Linked DNA regions of Arabidopsis thaliana. The protein of the gene in region 3 interacts with the protein of the main gene of each other region in a pairwise test. Each region holds a gene or a part of one and is shown on either strand. Other genes may lie near its edges. The genes, in order: GDU2, GDU3 and LUL2.

Evidence for each region.
Region 1: the proteins of LUL2 (region 3) and GDU2 interact in a two-hybrid assay, tested with the Arabidopsis thaliana proteins (one study listed by BioGRID).
Region 2: the proteins of LUL2 (region 3) and GDU3 interact in a two-hybrid assay, tested with the Arabidopsis thaliana proteins (one study listed by BioGRID).

Annotation. Positions count from the first base shown.
Region 1 is NC_003075.7:13,114,469-13,117,584, forward strand, and holds GDU2 (glutamine dumper 2), read left to right. Parts: upstream 1-1,559; 5' UTR 1,560-1,680; coding exon 1,681-2,070; 3' UTR 2,071-2,487; downstream 2,488-3,116. UniProt on the Arabidopsis thaliana protein: Probable subunit of an amino acid transporter involved in the regulation of the amino acid metabolism. Stimulates amino acid export by activating nonselective amino acid facilitators.
Region 2 is NC_003076.8:23,365,230-23,368,976, reverse strand, and holds GDU3 (glutamine dumper 3), read left to right. Parts: upstream 1-1,913; 5' UTR 1,914-2,174; coding exon 2,175-2,621; 3' UTR 2,622-3,172; downstream 3,173-3,747. UniProt on the Arabidopsis thaliana protein: Probable subunit of an amino acid transporter involved in the regulation of the amino acid metabolism. Stimulates amino acid export by activating nonselective amino acid facilitators.
Region 3 is NC_003074.8:19,800,366-19,804,212, forward strand, and holds LUL2 (RING/U-box superfamily protein), read right to left. Parts: upstream 1,964-3,847; 5' UTR 1,910-1,963; coding exon 1,614-1,909; intron 1,511-1,613; coding exon 1,024-1,510; intron 927-1,023; coding exon 810-926; 3' UTR 586-809; downstream 1-585. Other genes in the region: PIP2A (plasma membrane intrinsic protein 2A), read right to left, coding at 3,541-3,660, 3,751-3,847.

The DNA.
Region 1 (3,116 bases), on a different chromosome or scaffold from region 3:
AAAGCTAATCTCTGACTTGAGAAGTTGAGATATTTGGAACCTTTGTTAATTCTTTCAACACCGAAAACGATTTCTTAGGAAATTTCAAAAGAAATAAAAGTAAAGAGGGCAAGTATTCTGATTGTTAACCAAGCACAAAATGAAGCACCCATCAATCAATCTTTTCAACAATCAACATACCGATTCTAATTGGTCTGGCAGAATAATTACCGGAAAGGAAGAAGAATAGAACTCCAATATTTAATTATCGTACTTAATCTGTTTGTTCGAGAAACTAAATAATGGGTTCCTAGGTATATGTATTTATTTTATACATTATCTTCACATGTAACGTGCCTATTTAACGAGAATATGATTCCCTATGATTCATGCACAAACACAAATCAAATCCGGAATTTAAGTCGGATCAGGGAATAAATTATACAGCCCACACACATAATAATTTAAAACTAATATATACACAGTGAGGGGATTTAAAAGTAAAACTTATCTCCAAAGATTAATGTAAGCGACTAGTGATTGTGTTGGCATATTAACCGCACATAACATTGTTTGGGGGTTTGGATGCTTTAAAAAAGGTTCTGCCTTAGAAATTCCTTTTAGTTGACGTAATGATATATTATTGCTTACTGTAATACTAGTGGACACATTAAACAATGATCTTAAAGTACGAATGAAGAAATTAAAGAAAATGGAAGAGGAAGAATGTGGAAATGGAGAACGTAAGTGAAAGTGATTGGAAACTAATGGAATATCCGTTTTTCCTTTAGTCATGGTGGAAGCTGACGCTGAGAACCTACCCCTCCAATTGCACTACTCGCTCTATTACTTTATCTAACCAGAAGTTTTTTAAATACCCTTTACTGTATATAGTTCTTACAGTTTTATACATATTGTTAAGAACTCCATATATAGTGTATAAATGGCATTGAAAATAGTTTTGAGTTGAAACTCCTAAATGATATTAAATCTTGAGTTTAACCTAATTAAGCAAAGTAATAAAAACTGATTAGCCAAAACAAAGAGGTTAGTTAGTTCAACAGTTAGGTTAATGTGCAAATTGCCGTAACAAGATTATTAAATAATTCTTAACTTTAATTAACCTCTATCCATTATTGCATTTAAAAGATACTATTAATTAAAAGCCACCAATAAAAATTTAAACTTTATTAAAGTACTAAAGACGGATATATTAAACAAAACAATTATGAAAAAAATAAGAAAACCAACTTAATACAAGTTCAAATTAACATCCAAAAGAAGGAAATATACATGATTTTACAAATGTCTTCATTGAGCCACCACGTTAAACTAATATCATTTTTGAGGTTGATTAAAAAATTATTCATGTAAGTATAAATGCAAAAAAAAACTACATCTCTATATCAAAAACCAATCAATTGTTTACTCCATTATGGAAGATGATTCCCTAAAAAATAATTTCGTTAATACTCACTCTACAAAGTACAAATAATGAATACTGACTTTTTTCATACATTCCAAAAAAATACTGAAAACTGAACCATACACAAATCCATTGCATTAAGAAACAATCCATCCCATACGTTCCTCTATAAAACGCCTCTCACAACACAATCTCATCTCCCACCAATAAATTAATTACTTTTTTAACAAAGAAAACTTTCATTTCATTCACTCTTCCCAAACAGTAAAACACACATGCAGACAATGGAAGGACGACAATATAATTACCAAGACAGCATAAACGCGAGCTCCTCCATGGTGGTGCCTCACTCGCCTTGGCACTCTCCGGTTCCTTATCTCTTCGGTGGTTTGGCCGCCATGTTGGCTCTCATCTGCGTCGCTCTTCTCATCCTCGCATGTTCCTACTGGAGACTCTCCGGCTCCGCTGAGAGAGATCTTGAGGCCGGAGATGATGCCAAACCCGACAATGACACCAACAAAACTAAGCACACAGAAATGCCGGAGAAGTTTCTCGTCATAATGGCCGGTGATGTCAGACCTACTTACTTGGCTACGCCAGCGACTCGGTCTGAGCAAAGCTGTACTTGCGGCGATCATAACGAAGAAGAAGGAAGAAGAGGGTAGTGATCAGGTGGTATAGCAGAGCACCGGAGGTTACGGTGAGCCCTCCCTCATATTTTGAAAACAGAGCATTCGTTACGGAGTACTCCGGAATCGATCCGTCCGGTCTTTTTGTGTCGGTTCATAATTACGCCAACCTTACGTGAGCTGATGGGATATAAATTAGAGTTTTATTTATTTCGTATGGTTTTAGTTTTTTTTTGGTTGTCTCAGTTTTCTTCAAATTTTTCCCGTTTATGGTTCATGAAGGAATATCCGGTACATGTAAATTTTAAGAGTTTGAATAGATGATTGTTTTGGACTAGCGATTAAAGATAGAACTGAAGCTTGACAGACAAAATAAATAAAAGATACAACTAAAATCGTGCGTCCTTAATTCAGTTTTCGTGTATAGAGAGACAAAAATGTTTTCCCAGTGAGAGATGTACAGACATGATGCTTACGAAAGAGGGAAAGAGATGTGTTGTGAAAACTTCTAGTGATGTGCCAACAATGACGCATGCCGAATATTAAGCTAATTCGTTGTGGCGAACCGAAGTTGAGAATTATTCTCTTTGTACCTTTATTCCTAAATTTCTAGATATATTACTAAATATCATCAAGTTTTATCAAAGAACAAATAGCCTCTCAACTATACATTTCTCTCTTTTTTTCTTTTCCAGGCATATCCATTTATCATTGTTTACCATTCACTGAAATTGAAAGCATTATCGTTTATCGTTGGACAATAAATTGTCGTCTTTTGGATGATCAGTACAATGTGAACAGTGACACATATAATGGATGGAGACTACTGCAACTAACTGAATAATTGTTTTTCTAGTATGGGCAATTGGTCACTGGTTGTGTCATGTGTTTACGTCCTTTCGTTTTCTTGTCCAATTCCTACTATGTTTATTATGTGAACGTGTCAAAACAAACGAGCTCGCAAATGATGCCAATAAAACTGGAAAACCAACAATAATTGTGGAAAAATCGACATTCAACTGGCGCCAAGTCTTATGATCAAAACAAAAACTTATAGAATCGATAGTGACAAGAGAAGTATG
Region 2 (3,747 bases), on a different chromosome or scaffold from region 3:
CTCAATGTGTTTGACTAATCGAGAAAAAGCAAATGATAGGAACTTGACCAAATAAACTTTGATCCAAATAGACTGTGCAAAAACATGGGACCATTTTTGTTATCTCATCTATAATTTTTAAAATTATCATTGATGAGATAATTGAGACCTCAGGCATATGGTTTGGTATGTTGTTTCCAGCTTTTTTTCATTGGGGTTTCCCACTTTCCTTTTTGATGATATATAAAATTTTCTGTACTCCTCTAATATATCATTAAAATATTTTAAAAACGTAAAATTTGGTATGTTCTTGTTAGAATGATGATTTTGGTGCATAGTGGATTTTTTTATATATGATAAAATCAATAGTCACTTGTTAAAAGCAATTTATGGTGGTGGTGGGCTACCGTCTGTTTTTTCATTTATATTTATGTGTTCACAGTTCACGATGAAATATGATAACATATATATATATATATATATATATATATACCTATCATAATTATTTTTTATGCTGTATATATGTGAAAAAATTGTCTATATATAGTAGTTAATTAATTATGTATATGAATACAGCATGAAAAATTATTGAGAGCGAGTGTGAGTCTTGTTGTTCTTGCTTTGCCGAGTTTCAAGGTCTCATACGAATTCATTTGCTCTTTAACAATCATGCATATCTTGCATATATATCAATATGTTGGAGATACAATAAAGTTGGTTATAAATATGTATAGTGGAACTCGAAGTAAGAAGATTTAAACAAACATGTAATTTTAGTTGTTTTAGGTAACGTTCACTTTACTTGTTTGGCGTTAACGGTTATTACGTTTCCGGCTATCTCTTCACGTTTGCATCGCTCACCTAAATTTTAGCGGCTTTAACGGAACCGTTTTTGGTCAGTCTCTTGTCCTTATCTTATTCCCCTTTTAATTGCCTCTTTTAAACCCTCTTTCTTCTTCAGAGTGTTTCTTTATCTATTAGCCATCAATCATTGGTTTTTTTGTTCTAGTTAAAAAATTCATCATTTTCATGACTCTTATGTTTTCATGTCTCACTTTTCCACTGTAAATTAGAAAAATAATTATTAGCCAAGTAGATGTTGATCTTACGCTGTACTAGTAGAGAGTATAACCACTCAGCAGATATTTTCTGTAAAGTCATACTATATTTTATTCGAGTGGATTCGACACTATGTGAATGGTTGTTAATTATCTAAAACAGTGTTTAAGTGTTACAATAAATGATTACTAATATTATAATTCCTTGGAGTATGATAGAATCGAAGATATTTTTTGAAATTATCCACTGATTAAGCTTAAAAAGTAGTAAGGAATACTGATTAAGAAACAGACCACATTAATTGGGTCCCAACTAATCACCGGCACCTAAACCAACAGAAGCTCATCATTACACGGCTTGCTAACTATACATAACATTCCTCTGTAAAGCATGTAGTTTCAATTTTTGAAATATATAAACCCTTAACCTTGCTGAGATTATAAATGTTACCAATCATTTTTAAAATGCTATTGCTGTGAATGTGAACGTCGATTATTTATGTAAACTTCTAAGTAAAACACATACACACATTACTCTAGAAAGAAAAAAGTAGATATGTTAGTTATCTTTTATGTTGGTAAGCGACTCAAAACGGACAAAAAAAAATGAGTATGGTAAATCTCAACAGCCAAAAAAAAAAGTTTACCATTGAATTAAGAATTTTCTCTTAAAAATATGTTTGGAAATCATAGGAAAACTTGTTAAATGTTTATTTTTTCATTTACAAATTATATATATATTCAGTGGTTAATCCTTTTGTACACACCATCTCGATTACTTTAGCAAACGGCAAAAATAAGACATAACATAAGTTATGCACTCACGTCACGACTCCATATAATCATTCATGATAACTGAGAAACATAAAAACTGAATTCATATTGCTTTTTTCTCCAACTCACTCATTACATACAAATACATAAATAAATAAGAAAAATTTCCATAAATCAGAAGTAAAAAGAATCTCATACGCAAAATAATAAAATTAAAAATTGATACGTCACACACAATCCACAACGTTAATTCGCTTCTTCTCTTCTATAAAACCCTTCCTCACTCATCTTCCTCCTCACACCAAAACATTTTCCTAAAAAAAAAAAAAACTCAAAACTCAAAACCATCTTTGTGAAAAAAAAATGGAAGGAAGACAATATTACCCTCCGAGAGAAAACGTTGAAGGAAACAGAACCACCATGGGAGGAGGACCTCACTCACCGTGGCATTCACCGGTTCCTTATCTCTTTGGTGGTTTAGCAGCGATGCTTGGTCTCATAGCTTTTGCTCTTCTAATCCTCGCTTGCTCTTACTGGCGTCTCTCCGGTTATCTAGACGGCGAGGAAAACCAGAGCAGAGAGAGAGATCTTGAAGTCGGAGATGTGAAACCTGACAAAACGGCGGTGAAGCCTGTAGCTTTGCCGGAGAAGTTCTTGGTGATTATGGCCGGAAATGTCAAACCTACTTACTTAGCAACGCCGTCGGTAAAAACGTGTACTTGTGACGATGATGACGATGAAGATGATGACGTGGAGGGAAGTGATCAGGTGGTGCCGCGGAGTAGTGAAAGTAACGGTGAGACACATTGACAAAACCAGAGGAAGGGAAGAGAAAAACAGAGGATCGTCTTATTGTGAACAGTTCTGAAGAACTGTTTGCAGCATCTGACCCGGTTGCGTCGGGTATTCGGGTTGGATCATAACTCTACTTGATGATGAGTAATATTGGAAAAAATTGGAATTGGGATTGAATTATTAGGAGTTGTTCTGATCAATGATGTATTTAAAAAATCTTAGCTTTTGCCTTTTGCATCGTTAATTCGTTTTTTTTTTTTTTGTAAGTTTTGTGCCATATCTAGGTCATGATGAGGGATAAAATGTAAATTTCTGAGACTTTGAATGTGAAATTTGTGATTTATGGAATTGAGAATGAAAAAACAAATAACTATCTGAGACTTCAATGAAAATATCTTGATTATTTTAAAAATTCACCAAAAAAAAAAGGTGATTAAATGATGAAAAAATTGTACTGTTCCAGTACATGTTTTTTCGTGGGATTAATGTGACAATTGTGGTCCGAACAAAAAAGAAAACAGAGAAAATATCAAAAGATTCTTCAGGTGAGAAAATTGAAGTGAGGACTACAGGCACGTGTGAAGGCACATGCAGAAGAATGTCTGATTTAATTTCTCTTAGGTGTCTCTAAATTGATGCGGCGAGGTGAAGCAGTTAAAATTAGCTTCAATCAACGACCCTAATCGTGTAATTAATCTCCTATAGCATAATTCTTATCAGGAAAATATTTTATAAGTTTCGAAAATGACTTTTAACTGCACTAGGTCTCTTTTCTTTTTTCCCTTTCAATCTTATCTTGTAGGCTGTAGCCCTAGCTAGGTTTCTTTTTTTTTATATTACTTTAAAGCTATGGATTCTTTATTTATACATTCATCTAATGAAAATGGATTACCAACTATTAATAGTGAATATTCGAGTTCAGAAACTAGACTTTGATGAATAACCGTCAATCTTTTGCCTCTTCTTCTTTGTTGCATAACAAATAGTTTTGTTTTATCAAAACAGAGTATTTTTATCAATTTAACGATATATGTTGAGCTGCGTAGACTTGTAATCAAGATGTTCGATGTAAAAATGTTTTTGGATTGGTTATGGGTCGAGAAAATAAAGTTGGCTAATGGTGGGTTTTATTTGGGCCCAC
Region 3 (3,847 bases):
TATTCCCATTCACCCACAGGACCTACTTCACGACTCGCCTTGTATGTATTCACCCTTATGATCTTTCTCTAAAAAGTATGAGTTATCTGATGGTTTGGTGTTCAGACTGTGGATGGATCATCTTCTGATCTGATGATGCATCTGTTTTCACTGCCACAGGATACACATGTGTCTCACTTACCTCGACCAAATCTGCCTCTGATAGAGAGGAGAAATCAAATTCAGTTCCACAAGCCTGCTTGAATCTCTCTGCCCAACCTTTTGGAAAACTAAGTTGAGTGGATGGGGAAACAGATCCTCCTTTGTCACAATAAAGTCACAGCCTTGGCCTTTGATCAGATCATATTGTAACACATATCCTGCCACTGGCAAGATTAGCCTTCCCAGTTTTCTTTGCGGACCAGTAGTAAATGCTTTATCTAGACGGTTTTGGTTGTTAATAAAAATGAAGAACTTTTTGAGACTTTAACCAATCAAATAGCATAAACGAGGGATGATTTGATACGAGGAGTGTGTGACATTTGTCACTTCATCCCTCGTGTCTACTATCCGATTGGCTATACTCTCTAAAAGTGCTGCTGCTGGTACTGCAAAAGTTGTTCACTTCATTAACAACGAAGACCGCTAGACAAAGTAGCATGATGATTTACAAAACACTTGGAAGTAAAACCCGGAATTTAAGTGTCATTTGGCATATGTAAGTTAGTAACTTGAGTTCTAATGCCTGCATATATACCGATACCACAAACAAGAACATTGGGAAGCAGTCTTTATATAAAAACAGGAGAAGAGTAACGTAGCAAGGCTCACTAGTTCCTGTCGTTGTTGTTCACTGTTATCTCCAAAAGCCTATCCACCGGTTGTCTACAGATGGGGCAGAGGTTTGTCTGAAACCTCAAAAGCTTTGCACAACCGCTACACATACACTACGAATCACAAAAACAAATATCAAAGTTAGCTATCAATCAAGAAAAAAGCCGTCTTCTTTCTCAAACTCTCTCTTAAGGATATTTATCTGCTTACCATGTGCCTGCAAGGGAGAACAGTGGTATCCCGTGGCTCAGATAAGCAGATGACGCATTCTTTTCCTCTTTCATTCGCATCTTCTCCATTATCATCAACTGTATTACCAATCCCATAAATCTCTTGAAGAACATACCTATTCCCATTCACCCACAGGATCTGCTTCACCACTCTCGCCTTGTACTCACCCTTATGATCTTTCTCTAAAACCACATGAGTTATCTGTCTGTTTGGTGTCCCAGACTCAGGATGATCATCTTCTGATACTACCTCTGCTTTCACTGCCACATGATACACATCTGTCTCGTTTGCCTCAACCAAATCTGCCTCTGACATATCTGAGAAATCAATCCCTGTCCCACAAGCCTGCTTGAATCTCTGTTCCAGACCTTTTGCAAAACTAACTTGAGTGGATGGAAAAAGATCCTCCTTTGTCGCAATAAGGTTACAGTCTTTGCCTTCTTTAGCAAAGAACATTACAGTGATGCTGTTGAATCAAAAACCATAAGAACTGAGCATCGATCAAACCTTCAACATCTAGCAATCACACAGTGAAAAGATGTCGAGCTGTATAAAACATTGATCATTACCTTCCAGGAACAGAGGCGTCAAAAGTGAAGGAGAGCAAAAACTTGCCAGGGTTCTGTTCATCAGGCTCAAGTCTCAAAGTTTCTTTCTTCAGATTGATGTCGTTCCTTATAGTCACTGCTTCCTGATGCTCTACGTATTGCACTGGAGACGCCATCTCTCCATACGGATACCTAGCACAATCTTGGTACGGCGACGGATAATTGCCTTGGTACTGAGCATTAGGGTTTGGATACGGCGGCGAAGTACGGTCCCGATGATTTTCCGGGCGGCTTCCACCGCTTATGACATTGCCCATGATCCAACTTTGCGAAATTGAAATTGCAAATCGATTACAAAAAGATGAAAGAGAGTGGGAGGAAGATGATCAGAAAAGCAGGTCAACTAACTTTGTGGGCTAAGATACAGGGCCACACGTATCGGCCCATATAAAATACCAGTTTTACCCTATATTTATTTCAACTCAAAACGATTACTTGCGCTCGAAGATTCTGTTGATCTCCTCTCTCCGCTGATAGCTCCATCTTTCTCTAAAGCTTCTCTCTTGTGTTACAGGTTCGATAATAAACAAGGTCGGATTTACCTGATCAAACGTTTGTAATGTGGGACAAACGTCGGAGGGGAGACACAACTTTTCAGGCATGTCCATTTCCTCCAAAATTTCCAGCACGGTGGCTCTGGCCAGAAGACTTACGAGAAGGTGTGTTTTGTCCTCTCACTCACAGGTGAAATAATTTACCAGCACAACAAGTTTTTCTCCTTCTTCTTTTTGTTTCCCACACAGATGCAACGGGTTCAGGAAGGTCTCGTCTACGGTTAATGAACAGAGGAAGCTTCGGGAGACGTGTATTAGATGGGGTGAATATGCCTTTTCTTGTACATTATGCGATGTTGTTTGCCAAATCTTTGAATTGTCCGCCAAGCATCTCCAGAGTAAACAACATAAATCGTTCGTAAGCATCCCAGCCTATTGTATCACTACATTCGTCATTTTCTTACTACTGTATGAGGTCCCTTTAGAAACTTTCTCGATATCAAATCTGATCTACTGGGTTTGTGACACTCAGCTCTTCCCGAGAGGTTCAAAACTCCATCAATTCTTTGAATGGTGCAGTAGTATCATCATTTCTCTTCTTCGCATAACAATTTATTCGATTAGTACTTCTTACAGTAAATGATCAAACATCTAACACATGTTTTACTTTCGTAATTAAAGGATTTGGATGGTAGGCAGTCTCAGAGGCTGAGGCTAGGCCACCAAGAGGCCAATTTTGAGCGGCCACACCTCTTCACGTTCTCATAAAAAATGCAGATTCTGAAGGGTAAGACTCTCAATCCTCAGCCAAGTTCGAGCATTTCCTATATGATTCATAATTGTCAAGTAACAAACGACTAAGTATGTTGAATCTTGAATGTAACAGTTTCTGTGAGCCTTTGAGGCATATGGGGTTAATGGACAATGGCGGTTTCAGAGAGTAACTAAAACTTACTGCTGGTGCACGCTAGGCTTTATCCGCCTGAGATGTATGAAGACATAAAGGAATGGTCTTTTCTAGAAAGATAATGATTGCGTTAAAGCAGAGACATGTGTTTCTCCAAAATCCTGCTTATTCACTGAGCATCTTGAGGAGGACGTAAACAAGACCAAGAACATGGCCCCATGGTGTTGTTATTCTCTAAGGAAACTAACTTTAGTACTAGTATTAATGTAAACACAACGCATAAGAACCTCTTTGATTTCATTGATTATAATTCCAATCACTCGTTTAAAAGCGAAAGAAAAAACAATTACACCGAAGGAAAATTCACAAAAGAGCAAGTGGAAAACACAAATATAAGAAAGGGAAATGAAAACTGCAAGTGACTGATTTAGATTTGTACAGAGAGATCACAACTTCATTTATTCTTGAGAAATCTGGTTTGATGTGTTTAGACGTTGGCAGCACTTCTGAATGATCCAAGAGACTTAGAACCTGAAGCTCTCAGAACGAATTGGTGGTAGAATGCAGCTATCGCAGCTCCAATGAATGGTCCAACCCAAAATATCCACTGTTTGTAATCACCAAAATTTCAAAACATTATTCCCTTGTAAAAATGAAAAATATAGTTGAATGTAATGGAGAAACGTTGAGGTCTTACGTGGTCATCCCATGGCTTGCTCTTGTTGTAGATTACGGCAGCTCCGAAACTCCTTGCCGGGTTAATTCCGGTTCCGGTAATGGGAATGGTAGCCAAA